2 linked regions of the Caenorhabditis elegans genome follow. The protein of the gene in region 1 purifies or fractionates together with the protein of each later gene. This does not show direct contact. Each region holds a gene or a part of one and is shown in the gene's direction. Other genes may lie near its edges. The genes, in order: trmt-6 and eif-2gamma.

What was found.
Region 2: the proteins of trmt-6 (region 1) and eif-2gamma fractionate together in Caenorhabditis elegans (co-fractionation; one large-scale study listed by BioGRID). This does not show direct contact.

Annotation. Positions count from the first base shown.
Region 1 is NC_003279.8:9,141,315-9,146,091, reverse strand, and holds trmt-6 (tRNA (adenine(58)-N(1))-methyltransferase non-catalytic subunit TRM6), read left to right. Parts: upstream 1-1,715; 5' UTR 1,716-1,722; coding exon 1,723-1,791; intron 1,792-1,875; coding exon 1,876-1,958; intron 1,959-2,509; coding exon 2,510-2,884; intron 2,885-2,998; coding exon 2,999-3,224; intron 3,225-3,273; coding exon 3,274-3,471; intron 3,472-3,527; coding exon 3,528-3,725; intron 3,726-3,841; coding exon 3,842-4,012; 3' UTR 4,013-4,121; downstream 4,122-4,777. Other genes in the region: ZK858.6 (Transmembrane 9 superfamily member), read left to right, coding at 460-462, 495-599, 4,569-4,694.
Region 2 is NC_003279.8:2,311,086-2,316,535, forward strand, and holds eif-2gamma (protein-synthesizing GTPase), read left to right. Parts: upstream 1-2,185; 5' UTR 2,186-2,225; coding exon 2,226-2,235; intron 2,236-2,289; coding exon 2,290-2,378; intron 2,379-2,422; coding exon 2,423-2,628; intron 2,629-2,685; coding exon 2,686-3,076; intron 3,077-3,910; coding exon 3,911-4,519; intron 4,520-4,570; coding exon 4,571-4,675; 3' UTR 4,676-4,907; downstream 4,908-5,450. Other genes in the region: 5-cytosine rRNA methyltransferase nsun-4, read left to right, coding at 14-89, 757-960; tbca-1 (Tubulin-specific chaperone A), read left to right, coding at 1,425-1,613, 1,665-1,811; ekl-7 (PEHE domain-containing protein), read left to right, coding at 5,224-5,304, 5,355-5,450.

The DNA of each region.
Region 1 (4,777 bases):
ACTTGAATTGGGAAGTAAAATCTGACGATATACTACAGTAATCCCTTTCTGTCATATTATCGAAAAAATACGATCGAACAATTTTCTCATAATTTATTTTTGATCTACCTTGTTGACTAGGCTCCTCCCCTTCCTTTGATAAAACAGCCACAACAAAATAACAACGGCATCAAGATTGGGAGCGGAGTCAAGTTCAACAGGTAGATCAAAATTATGAGAAATTTGTGCGATCGTATTTTTTCGATAATATAAGTTCATTATTACCAGGTTTTCTAAATTTAAGTCGAAATTTCAGGAACTTTTCTATTTTCGGTAAACAAAAATAATACGTTTTGAACATGTGTGATAACCGGATTGAGAGAAAAAGTTGAAAAAGATCACAAGACTCCAAAGTTCCGTGGAAAACCTCACTGATAACGTAACCTTGATCAGAACATTCGGGTATCTTTTATAACAATAATGGTTGGCAGTTGGCAAACAAGCAATCTTTAAAGATCGCCTTCACACACTTTTATTATCGTCACTACCACTTTCTATCTCTATTTGATGATTTATCGTCTTATCACAATTTTTCGAGAGACCGCCCAAATCGCGGATCGGTGGGTTGAAAGTCTTTAAAAAGCAAATAAGATGAGTTTAGGGTATTGTTAATAATTCTTTGTATGATAGAGTGGAGAATAGAAAAGTTGAGTAGAAGACGAAAAACTAGTTTTTTCTTTTGAAATGCGGCAATTATCAACAAAATATTGTTGACAAGGAAATTGATTTTTTTTCAAAAATAAAATGGAAACCAATTCAAAAATGTTATATTTACAATCTTATTTAAAGAGAAACAAATCAAAAAGATACAGAGAAATTGTTCGTCAAAGAATGATCGTTCACTAAATATCAACTATCAATTATGAACACACGTTGAATTTCATCTCGTCAGTTGATCGCTCTACAGTTTCTTCTCTGTGTACTTGTTCCTCTAAACTGTGACATTGTAATTGGATACAGAAGACACAATACACATCAAAAATTTTTCTAAAAGAAATACCAAATTTCCCATAATAATCGGTGATTTCAGAATTATTTTAATTCAAAAAATCTGAAAATAAAAAAAAATACAGAAGAGTAACCATAAAAATAAATTTTATATTAAATTTTGTTTAAATTGACGAAAAAAAGCATTAAAAAAATTTGTCCAAACTGAATAAAAATTTCCAATATTTTAAGCTATTTTTTGAAAAACTGCATTTTTTAGAAATATCGAAAGAAAAACTAAAATATTTCGGTTTTTAGTAAAAAATTTTTAAAAACCCTCACCCTGGGCTCAATTGATGTTTTTGTTTCGAAAAACATATTTCTGGGTGCAAAAAAAACATTTTTGTTGAATGCTTTTTGTCTTATTCAGTTTTTTTTCTCAAAAAATACACTTAGCTTACAGTCCGGAATCCAATTGCATCTGAATAGTCCGAGAAAGCTATTCCAAATGTTTTGAACTCAAAAACTGCCCAGTTTAAAAGTACAAAAAACTATTTCAAAAAAGATGTAAAAGTTCAACTTTAAACCAATTCAATACCTCTCCTAACAAATATTCGAATATTTGCAATCTCTCATTTTCCCTCTTTTATCACATTTTTCCCGATATTCTTTGACTACTTTATCGTTCGTTCTCTGTTGCCTTTCGTAGCCGTCTCGTCGATTTTCAATTGAATATTCAAATTTTTCAGATCAAACATGGAAACCGAACCTGCGGAAACATCACAAAAACTCATAAAAAGTGGAGAGTATCTTATCGTGCAAAAGGTATTTTTTGAATTGGAAAAAGTTCAATTTTCACATTAAAATTGAATTGAAGAACAAAATTACAGCAAAAAAAATAATTTTCAGATTGATGGCGAACAAAGTCGCATAGTCCGGTTTACTCCAAAGCAAAAGATTCTCATTGAGAAGCTGAAGTTTGTAGCCGATAGGTAAGGTTTCCAGTTCTAAAATTAATTATAATTTTCCGAATAACTTCCAATTTTCGAGCTCTTTCAAATGAAACTTTGATCACAAAAAAACCACAGTGACGTCAAAGTGCATTCTAAACATAAAACACGTGCCCCGTTTTTCAAAAGTCACATATCAATTCTCGCCCCTTGTCACTAACCGATTATAAATTTTTCTTTTTTTTCGACGATTAAAAATCGTTGTGCAAACACTTTGACAAACAGTTTGATTAATTCAAAGAAAAGGGCAGCAGACCCTACGTTCAATTGATTCAACTGATAATATTAATGGGGTTAAAGTGGTTTTTTCTATTGGAAAAGTAAACTGAATGCTCTGCAAACTATTTTGTGGTTTTTCTTATATACGTCCAAAATACCCAGAACCGTTCCTCCTTCTTTAAGATCTATAAAAATTCGAAAACTTGTAAATTCACTAAAAAAAAAAGGTTTTGGATAGATTTTAGGCCGGCACTGTATGTGGTACCCGAACAATGATGGTAAAAGATACTGTAATGAAAGAATGATATTTTCAGTGCATTTGGAAAGCCTCATGGTCTATTCGAAGTATCCAATAATCAATGCCTTCCAATGTCAGTTGATCGTCTAATTGAAGAACTTCAACTTCAAGAAGCATCCGTTGCCACCTCATCCATAGATCCTGAAGTAACAGAACCATCGGAACCATCTTTAGATCCACGTGTTGTTATCGCGCCTTCAGCACTTAAACTTGAGCCCGAACAAAAACGTCAAAAATTGGAAATGGATGCCGTATTGGAAATGAAGAAGCAAGGAGTCAGTGGACAGGAAATGGTTGCCAAACTTGTTGAAGGTTCAGCATCATTTCAGACAAGAACTGTCTTTTCACAGAGCAAATATATCAAACGAAAAGCCAAAAAACATAGTGATCGGTACGTCAGCTATTGTTTTTAAATTTAAATTATTTTTGAATTTTAAGCTTTTGAGTTTTTTATTGATAAAAGTGGGGTTTTGCCGATTTCTACTTCTGCGAATAATAATTTCAGAGTATTAATCCTCCGTCCAACCATCCGTCTTCTGGCTAAAGCTTATTATTTGAAAGATCCTGATCGTCTTGCGATGCTTCGTGCTGATCAATTAGCATTAATTCTTCAAATGGCAGGGCTTCACCATGGAAAGAATGTCGTCGTATTTGAACAAACACTTGGACTTATTACCTCTGCAGTTATTGAAAGACTCGGTGGAACTGGTGCTTGTATTCATATTCATAGGGTTTATTCTTCGAAAAAAAACATCCTTTCAAAATATATTGGTTTTACAGGGTGCGGTAGCTCAATCAATTCCCTGTGTTCATTCTATGAATTACGATGATAACACACTTTCCACATTTTTACCGGTTCGAATTAAGTGTGTTCTAGCAGGCAAACATCTGCCATATGACAATAACCGAAAGGCTGTAAATGGGGATGATGATAATTTGGAGGAAGTCAATGGAGATAAGGAACCTGAGAAAATCGAGGTAATTGAAAAATTAGGACAACGTTTTAGATGGAAATAAATTTTTAAATTTTATAGGATCAAGATCTAGAGGCTCTTGCTCGCCGAAATGATCGTTTGGATCGGGAGAAGAGAGGAATCGATTTGATTAATGATGAACAAATTCATTCTTTAATTATTGGAAGTCGTACTGTCGATCCTATCAGTGTTTTGGAGCTTCTTTATCCCAAACTGGCACCATCTGGGACGATTGTCATCTACTCTCCTCATCAAAATGTAAAAATTATATAAAATATTATCTTTTTTTCACATTAAAGTGACCAGATTACATTTTAACTGAATTCTGGCTCCAGTTACTCAAAAAACCTTTTAAAAACTATTTTCTGTTCCAGATCCTCATCTCAGCATACGATTGGTTGTCAAAGCGTCAAACAATCAATTTAGTTCTTACTGATCAAATGTGTCGTGTAATGCAAGTTCTACCTGATAGAACTCATCCGTTAATGGCTCAGCACGTCGCTGGCGGACATATTCTCACTGGAATCAAAGTTATTGACCAATAATTTATTATTATTTTTGTTATTGTTGTTTTTCTTTTTTCAGATCACCGTATTCGCATTTTATTTGTTATTTTTTATTGTTGAATTTTCCGAGTAAATTGCATATTTCCTCAATCTTTTACACTTAAAATTTAATAATATGTACAGTTCAATACTTCAATATTTATTTTCTTTATCAAACCATTATATCTTCCTGGAAAATGCCATAATTCTGACTGAACAAATATAGGCAAAAAAGTGCGCGTCACACTTGCAAATTACCAATCCACGCCATTTAGCCCCACCCACAATACCGCGCCGCATGCGTGTCAACAAGAGATTCGCCGAGCCGATAAGCTTTTGCGCGATTATCCACGTTTCTGCTAGGCTTTTGAATATTATAAATATTTGAAATATTTTCTCTTTTAAACGGTATTTTGAGTTCTAGCTATGTATATTTCAATTTAATTAATTAATTGACGGGCTTTACAAATATTTAGGTTAAGAAATTGTCAATATATTGCTTTTAATTCCCTTCCTATTACATTTTTCTTTCAAATAAGCTCAAAATTATTTACAGCTAATGGCTTATTTACGAACTAGCACCCTTTTGGTGCTCGCCACTCTTATACCTCTCGAGCAAGGATTTTATGTGCCTGGAGTGGCTCCGGTTGATTTCAAAGCCGGAGATGTGATCGATGTCAAGGTAAGAAAATCGCTGCAACGCGATTAAAAATATCATGGTCTGAAAAAAGTGTTAAGAAACCAACTTTTAAAATCTAATTTCGC
Region 2 (5,450 bases), 6.8 Mb from region 1:
TTTTTCCTTTCAGAAATGCACTGCGATCTGTAAAAGTTGGTGGCTCGGTTGTCTACTCGACGTGCACACTCTCACCAAGCCAAAACGAGGTTTTCGCTCGAACCTGGTCTTGGCACGACAAATTTTTTTGTTAAATAGGAAAATATATGCGCCTTTAAGGAGTACTGTAGTTCCAAATTTTTTGTTGCATCGATTTTTGAAAAACTCCTTGAAAAATGATGACAAATATAGTTTTTTCTCGATTTGTAAAAAATTCGAAAATTGATGAAAAATCGATGAAAATTTTACAAAAAACGTGAAAAACTCAATTTTTCAAAACAATATTCGGCTATTTTCCAATTTTAGTTTAAAAAAAATCGCATTCTGCATTTTTTTTTGCGCTCCCTGCCGTGTTTGCGTATTTTCACCGCTACAGTACCCCGAAATGCTCAAATTTTGCTCTGATAGTTTCACAAAAGTTTAAAATGTGAAGAAATCGTTTCTTTTAACACTATAAATCTCGAATTTTCACTAAACAGTTGAGAAAATCAAATCAAAATTTCAAATTTTGACGATTTCCGTTTAAAAATTTGATTCTGGCTTCAACTCTCGCCCGATCCCAACATTTTCCCTCAAAAAAAATCCCGAAATTCTGCATGCATTTTTTCGTAGGATCCGGTGATTGCGTACTTTCGCGGCTACAGTACTTCTGGCGTGTCGAGACCGGGGTTTTTTGTCGAAATAACAGCTCAAAAATGCTAATTCAAATTTCTTCAGGCAGTCGTCGAGAACGCTGTAGCCGTCGTACGCAATGACTTTGGAATCGTGACCGTCGAGGAATCCCTACATCAACTCGTATCCCATATGACGTCATCAGGCCTCTATCGTTTCCATGACACTCCACTGGGAGCCCTCGTCGTGCCGTTTCTACCCTCTAACTTTGGACCAATGTATATTTGCAAACTGACCAGATTGCAATAGATTTTTAATATTTGATGAATTTTTTTAAATTTCTAGATTTTGCTATTTTTTGTTTGTTTTTTTTAAATCTGAATTTTTAAATTTATGTCTTGTTTTAAAATTTTATTATTTATGCAGTACCCCCATGGGTGCATCTGCCGTTCCATCAGTACCTAATTTCAAATTCATAGAATTTTTCATTGATCCTTCTTGTTCGTTCTCTATGTATGTATTGCGAAATCATTTGAACAGTCGATTTTTTGGCGGGAACCTGTGTCGCCCAACAGACAGCGGTCAATTTGTATTTATTTCGAAATCGCCGAGCGTGTCTGACCATCTGCTCGCTTTCCCGTCCTTTTTCGGCTCATTGAGCACAACATTTTCGGTGGTATTGCGCCTTTTTCTATCGATTTTTAGTCCATAAAAGCAAGCTCACAATCTCGTTCTCTGTTTCAAAAATTCACATTGCAGAACCTCCCGCCGCCATGTCGACCCAAGCCGATCAGCTGAAAGCGCTCCGAATCAAGACGGGAACCGTGCAACGTCTCGTCAAAGAAGTCGCCTATTACGAGAAGCAAGTTGTGAAGGAGGAGCAGAAGGCTGCCCAACTCGCCGCCGACGCCACCAACGAGGACGAGGAGTATGTTGCCAAGAAGTCGAAGGATATTGTTAAGGTTTTTTGAAATAATCCGATTTACGAGTATACGAAATTAAAATATTTTCAGGAAACTGCCAACATGGTCCGCGATTCTCAATCACGTCTCCAAAAAGCTGTGGCCGACCTCCGTGAATCGATTGCTTCTGGGAATTATCCGGAGGAAGCCGCAGAATTCGTCAATGCGAAGACGCTTGTGGACTCCATTTCTGCTTAATTTATGATACTCTTTTGTTATTTTGGGATTTTCGGTGATTTATGATGAATAATTATTGCATTTTACTTGAATACATGGTTTATAATGCCGTATAAATAATTTTAAGAAGCAATTTCGCTAATATTTCCATACGAAAAATATACAGATGTCCGTTAATTCAACGATTTTTGCCTGGTTCGCGCTAAAAAGCAAAACATAAAATTCGAGCTCGTAAATCGACACACGAAATCGCATCGAGACCCTTCCAACCACTCCCATGCGCCTTTAACCCATTTCTAATTTTATCCAATTTTAGCCTGTTTTCTATGCAATCTTTATGGATTTTCAATTAATTTTGAGTAATTTCGATTAATTATAATGATAATTTTTTAAAGATCAATAATCGACTCAACTGGGATCATAAAAACAAAAAATATGGCTTCTGGTAAGTGTTAGCTTTTCGGTTTCAAGAAAATTTCATAATTCTTTCTTAATTTAGAAGCTGAAAAGGACAAGTGCCAGAGCTGGCTTGCGAAACAAGATTTGGACAAAGTCGGAGTCGATAATTTGAACCCACTCACCGAGGAGGTACTGAAAATCAATAATTTTTGAGTTAAAGAGTTATTTTTCAGGTTATCTCTCGACAAGCCACGATTAATATCGGAACTATTGGCCACGTAGCCCATGGAAAATCCACTCTGGTGAAAGCGTTCTCCGGTGTGCATACTGTCAAGTTCAAAAGAGAGTTGGAAAGAAATATTACTATCAAACTTGGATACGCTAATGCAAAGATCTACAGATGTTCTAACCAAGAGTGCCCAAGGCCAGGATGTTACAGGTTATAATATCTCCCTGAAATTTAATTTAAATAAATAATTTTTGAATTCTAATTCAGATCCGCCGGTTCATCAACACCCGATCGGTTCCCATGCGAGCGCGCCGGATGCGGTGGAGAATTCACCTGTGTTCGCCACGTCTCATTCGTCGATTGCCCAGGTCACGACATTCTTATGGCCACCATGTTGAACGGAGCCGCTGTCATGGACGCCGCGTTCTTGCTCGTCGCCGGAAACGAACCATGCCCACAGCCACAAACATCTGAACATCTCGCCGCCGTCGAGATTATGCAGCTGAATCATTTGATGATTCTTCAGAACAAGGTCGATATTATCAAGGAGTCGCAAGCCCGCGAAAATTACGAGCAAATCGCCGGATTTGTGCAAGGAACGGTCGCCGAGAATGCTCCAGTCATCCCGATTTCTGCGCAGCTTAAATATAATGTTGATGTAAGGATCTGAATCTGGATTTAAATATACCACGCTCTCCTCAAGTGTTCATAATTATTAGAGCGCGCTCGCGCGGCACCACACGAACTCCAGAATTCGCGGGAATTCGTTTCGCGGGGACAGCAGTTTTTGGCTATATTCGGCTTCTATGGAAATTATTTTTAATTTTTTTGATTTATAATATTGTTGAGAAGCACCATCCGAATTGAAAATGTGTAAAATTATGAAATCTGACCGAAAACTGAAGTTTTTACAGAGAGGAGTCACCACGGCTTTCTTTAAAATGTATCAGTACCGTCAGTTTTTCGAATTCAGAGTCGTAAAATATGTCATTTTGTAAGTCTGTTTCACGAAAATCCATGTTTGAAATTTTAATTTTTTAATTTCTAATATAAAAATATTCAAAAAATCAACAATTTTACGTTAGAATCTAATTTTTTCAAATTTTCAGTTTTTCATAAGAACAATTTTAAAATTTCAAACATGGATTTTTGTGAAACAGACTTTTCTCTACAAAATAACATATTCTACGACTCTGAAATCGAAAAACTGACTGTACTGATACATTTTAAAGAAAGCCGTGGTGACTCCTCTCTGTAAAACCTTCAGTTTTCGGTCAGATTTCATAATTTTACACATTTTCAATTCGGATGGTGCTTCTCAACAATATTATTAAACAAAAAATTAAAAATAATTTCCATAGAAGCCAAAAACAGCCGCCTAAAACTGCTGTCCCCGCGAATTCTGGAGTTCGTGAGGGGCCGCGCGAGCGCGCTCTAATAATTATGAACGCTTGAGGAGAGCGTGTATACTAGATTAATTGCGATTTTTCAGCTCGTTTGCGAGTATCTTTGCAAGAAAATCCCCGTGCCAGTCCGTGACTTCAAGTCGCCGGCTCGTCTCATCATTATCCGATCATTCGATGTTAACAAGCCAGGATCTGAAGTTGAAAACTTGAAGGGAGGAGTCGCCGGAGGAACATTGACCAAGGGAATTCTGCGCGTCGGACAAGAAATCGAAGTTCGCCCGGGAATCGTCTCAAAAACCGCGACCGGTCAACTCCAATGCCGTCCGATCTTCTCCCGTATCGACTCTCTGTTTGCCGAAAAGAACCAGCTGGAATACGCCGTTCCCGGCGGTCTCATCGGTGTTGGAACGAAGATCGACCCGACACTCTGCCGTGGAGATCGACTCGTCGGTCACATCCTCGGAGCCGTTGGCACTCTTCCAGATATCTTCATCGAAATTGAAATCTCCTTCTATCTTCTGAGAAGATTGCTCGGAGTTCGTACTGAAGGAAAGAAGAAGGGAGCCAAGGTGCAGAAGCTTGTCAAGGAAGAGACTTTGCTGGTGAACATTGGATCGTTGTCAACGGGAGGAAGAGTTACTGCTGTGAAGGGAGACGCCGCGAAGATCAGATTAAACGATCCTATTTGCACAGAGGTAATTCCCACTTTTTATAAAATAATAAATTTAATTTGTATTTAAATTCAGGTTGGAGAGAAGATTGCCATGTCACGTCGTTTCGAGAAGAGTTGGCGCCTGATTGGCTGGGGAACCATTCGCAAAGGTCAAACCGTTGAGCCGTACAAGAACTAGCGGCTATCATCGATTTGTTGTCTACACCGGTTTTGACATATTATTAATCTTTTCCAATTGTTTCTCTCCGTTTTTGTCTCTCTATTAGTCCAAAAAATTTTGTCGGATCCCTGTTTTGGTTCTTTTTTCTGTCCTCCTCCTGTTTCCTACTATTCCACTTCCAGTTTCATTGATTATTTTTCTTTTTGTTGAAAGTGTGCTTGGTGTTTTTTCGATAAATTATTGGATTTGAGTAAAATCTGGAAATACATTTTATAATTGCAGCAAAGATTCAGGTTTTGAAAAACAAAACGAAAAGTGCAGGCTACAGTAACCCACCTTAAAGGGAGGTTTCATTCCTTGCGCAGATGGTCTCGCCGCGATGAGACTTTTGTAGAATGTTTACGGTGTTGTAGGCCGCTAGAAAATTTTCGAATTTCATCTGAATTTCTCTTTATTTTCTCCAATTTTCTCAAATTTTTGTTCGAAAATCTGAATAAAATGTATAAAACTTTTATTTTAACGCCTCGATCGGATAAAACATACACTCTAAATGATAAATTTCAGCGATGCCGGCCCCGAAATTCATCGAAGGTCCGAACACTGTTCAAACGTCACTTTACGGCTATGACAGGAGCAAGAAAGTGCAGGTAATACTCTGAATTGTGCGATTTTTTCCACCCACTAAAACATAACCTAGTTCCAGCTGAACAATTTACGCGGGAAACCAATTATGGTGCTCCGTTCTGATACGGTCATTCCAAAAAACGAAGAAGCACCTCCACCACGAAGCACC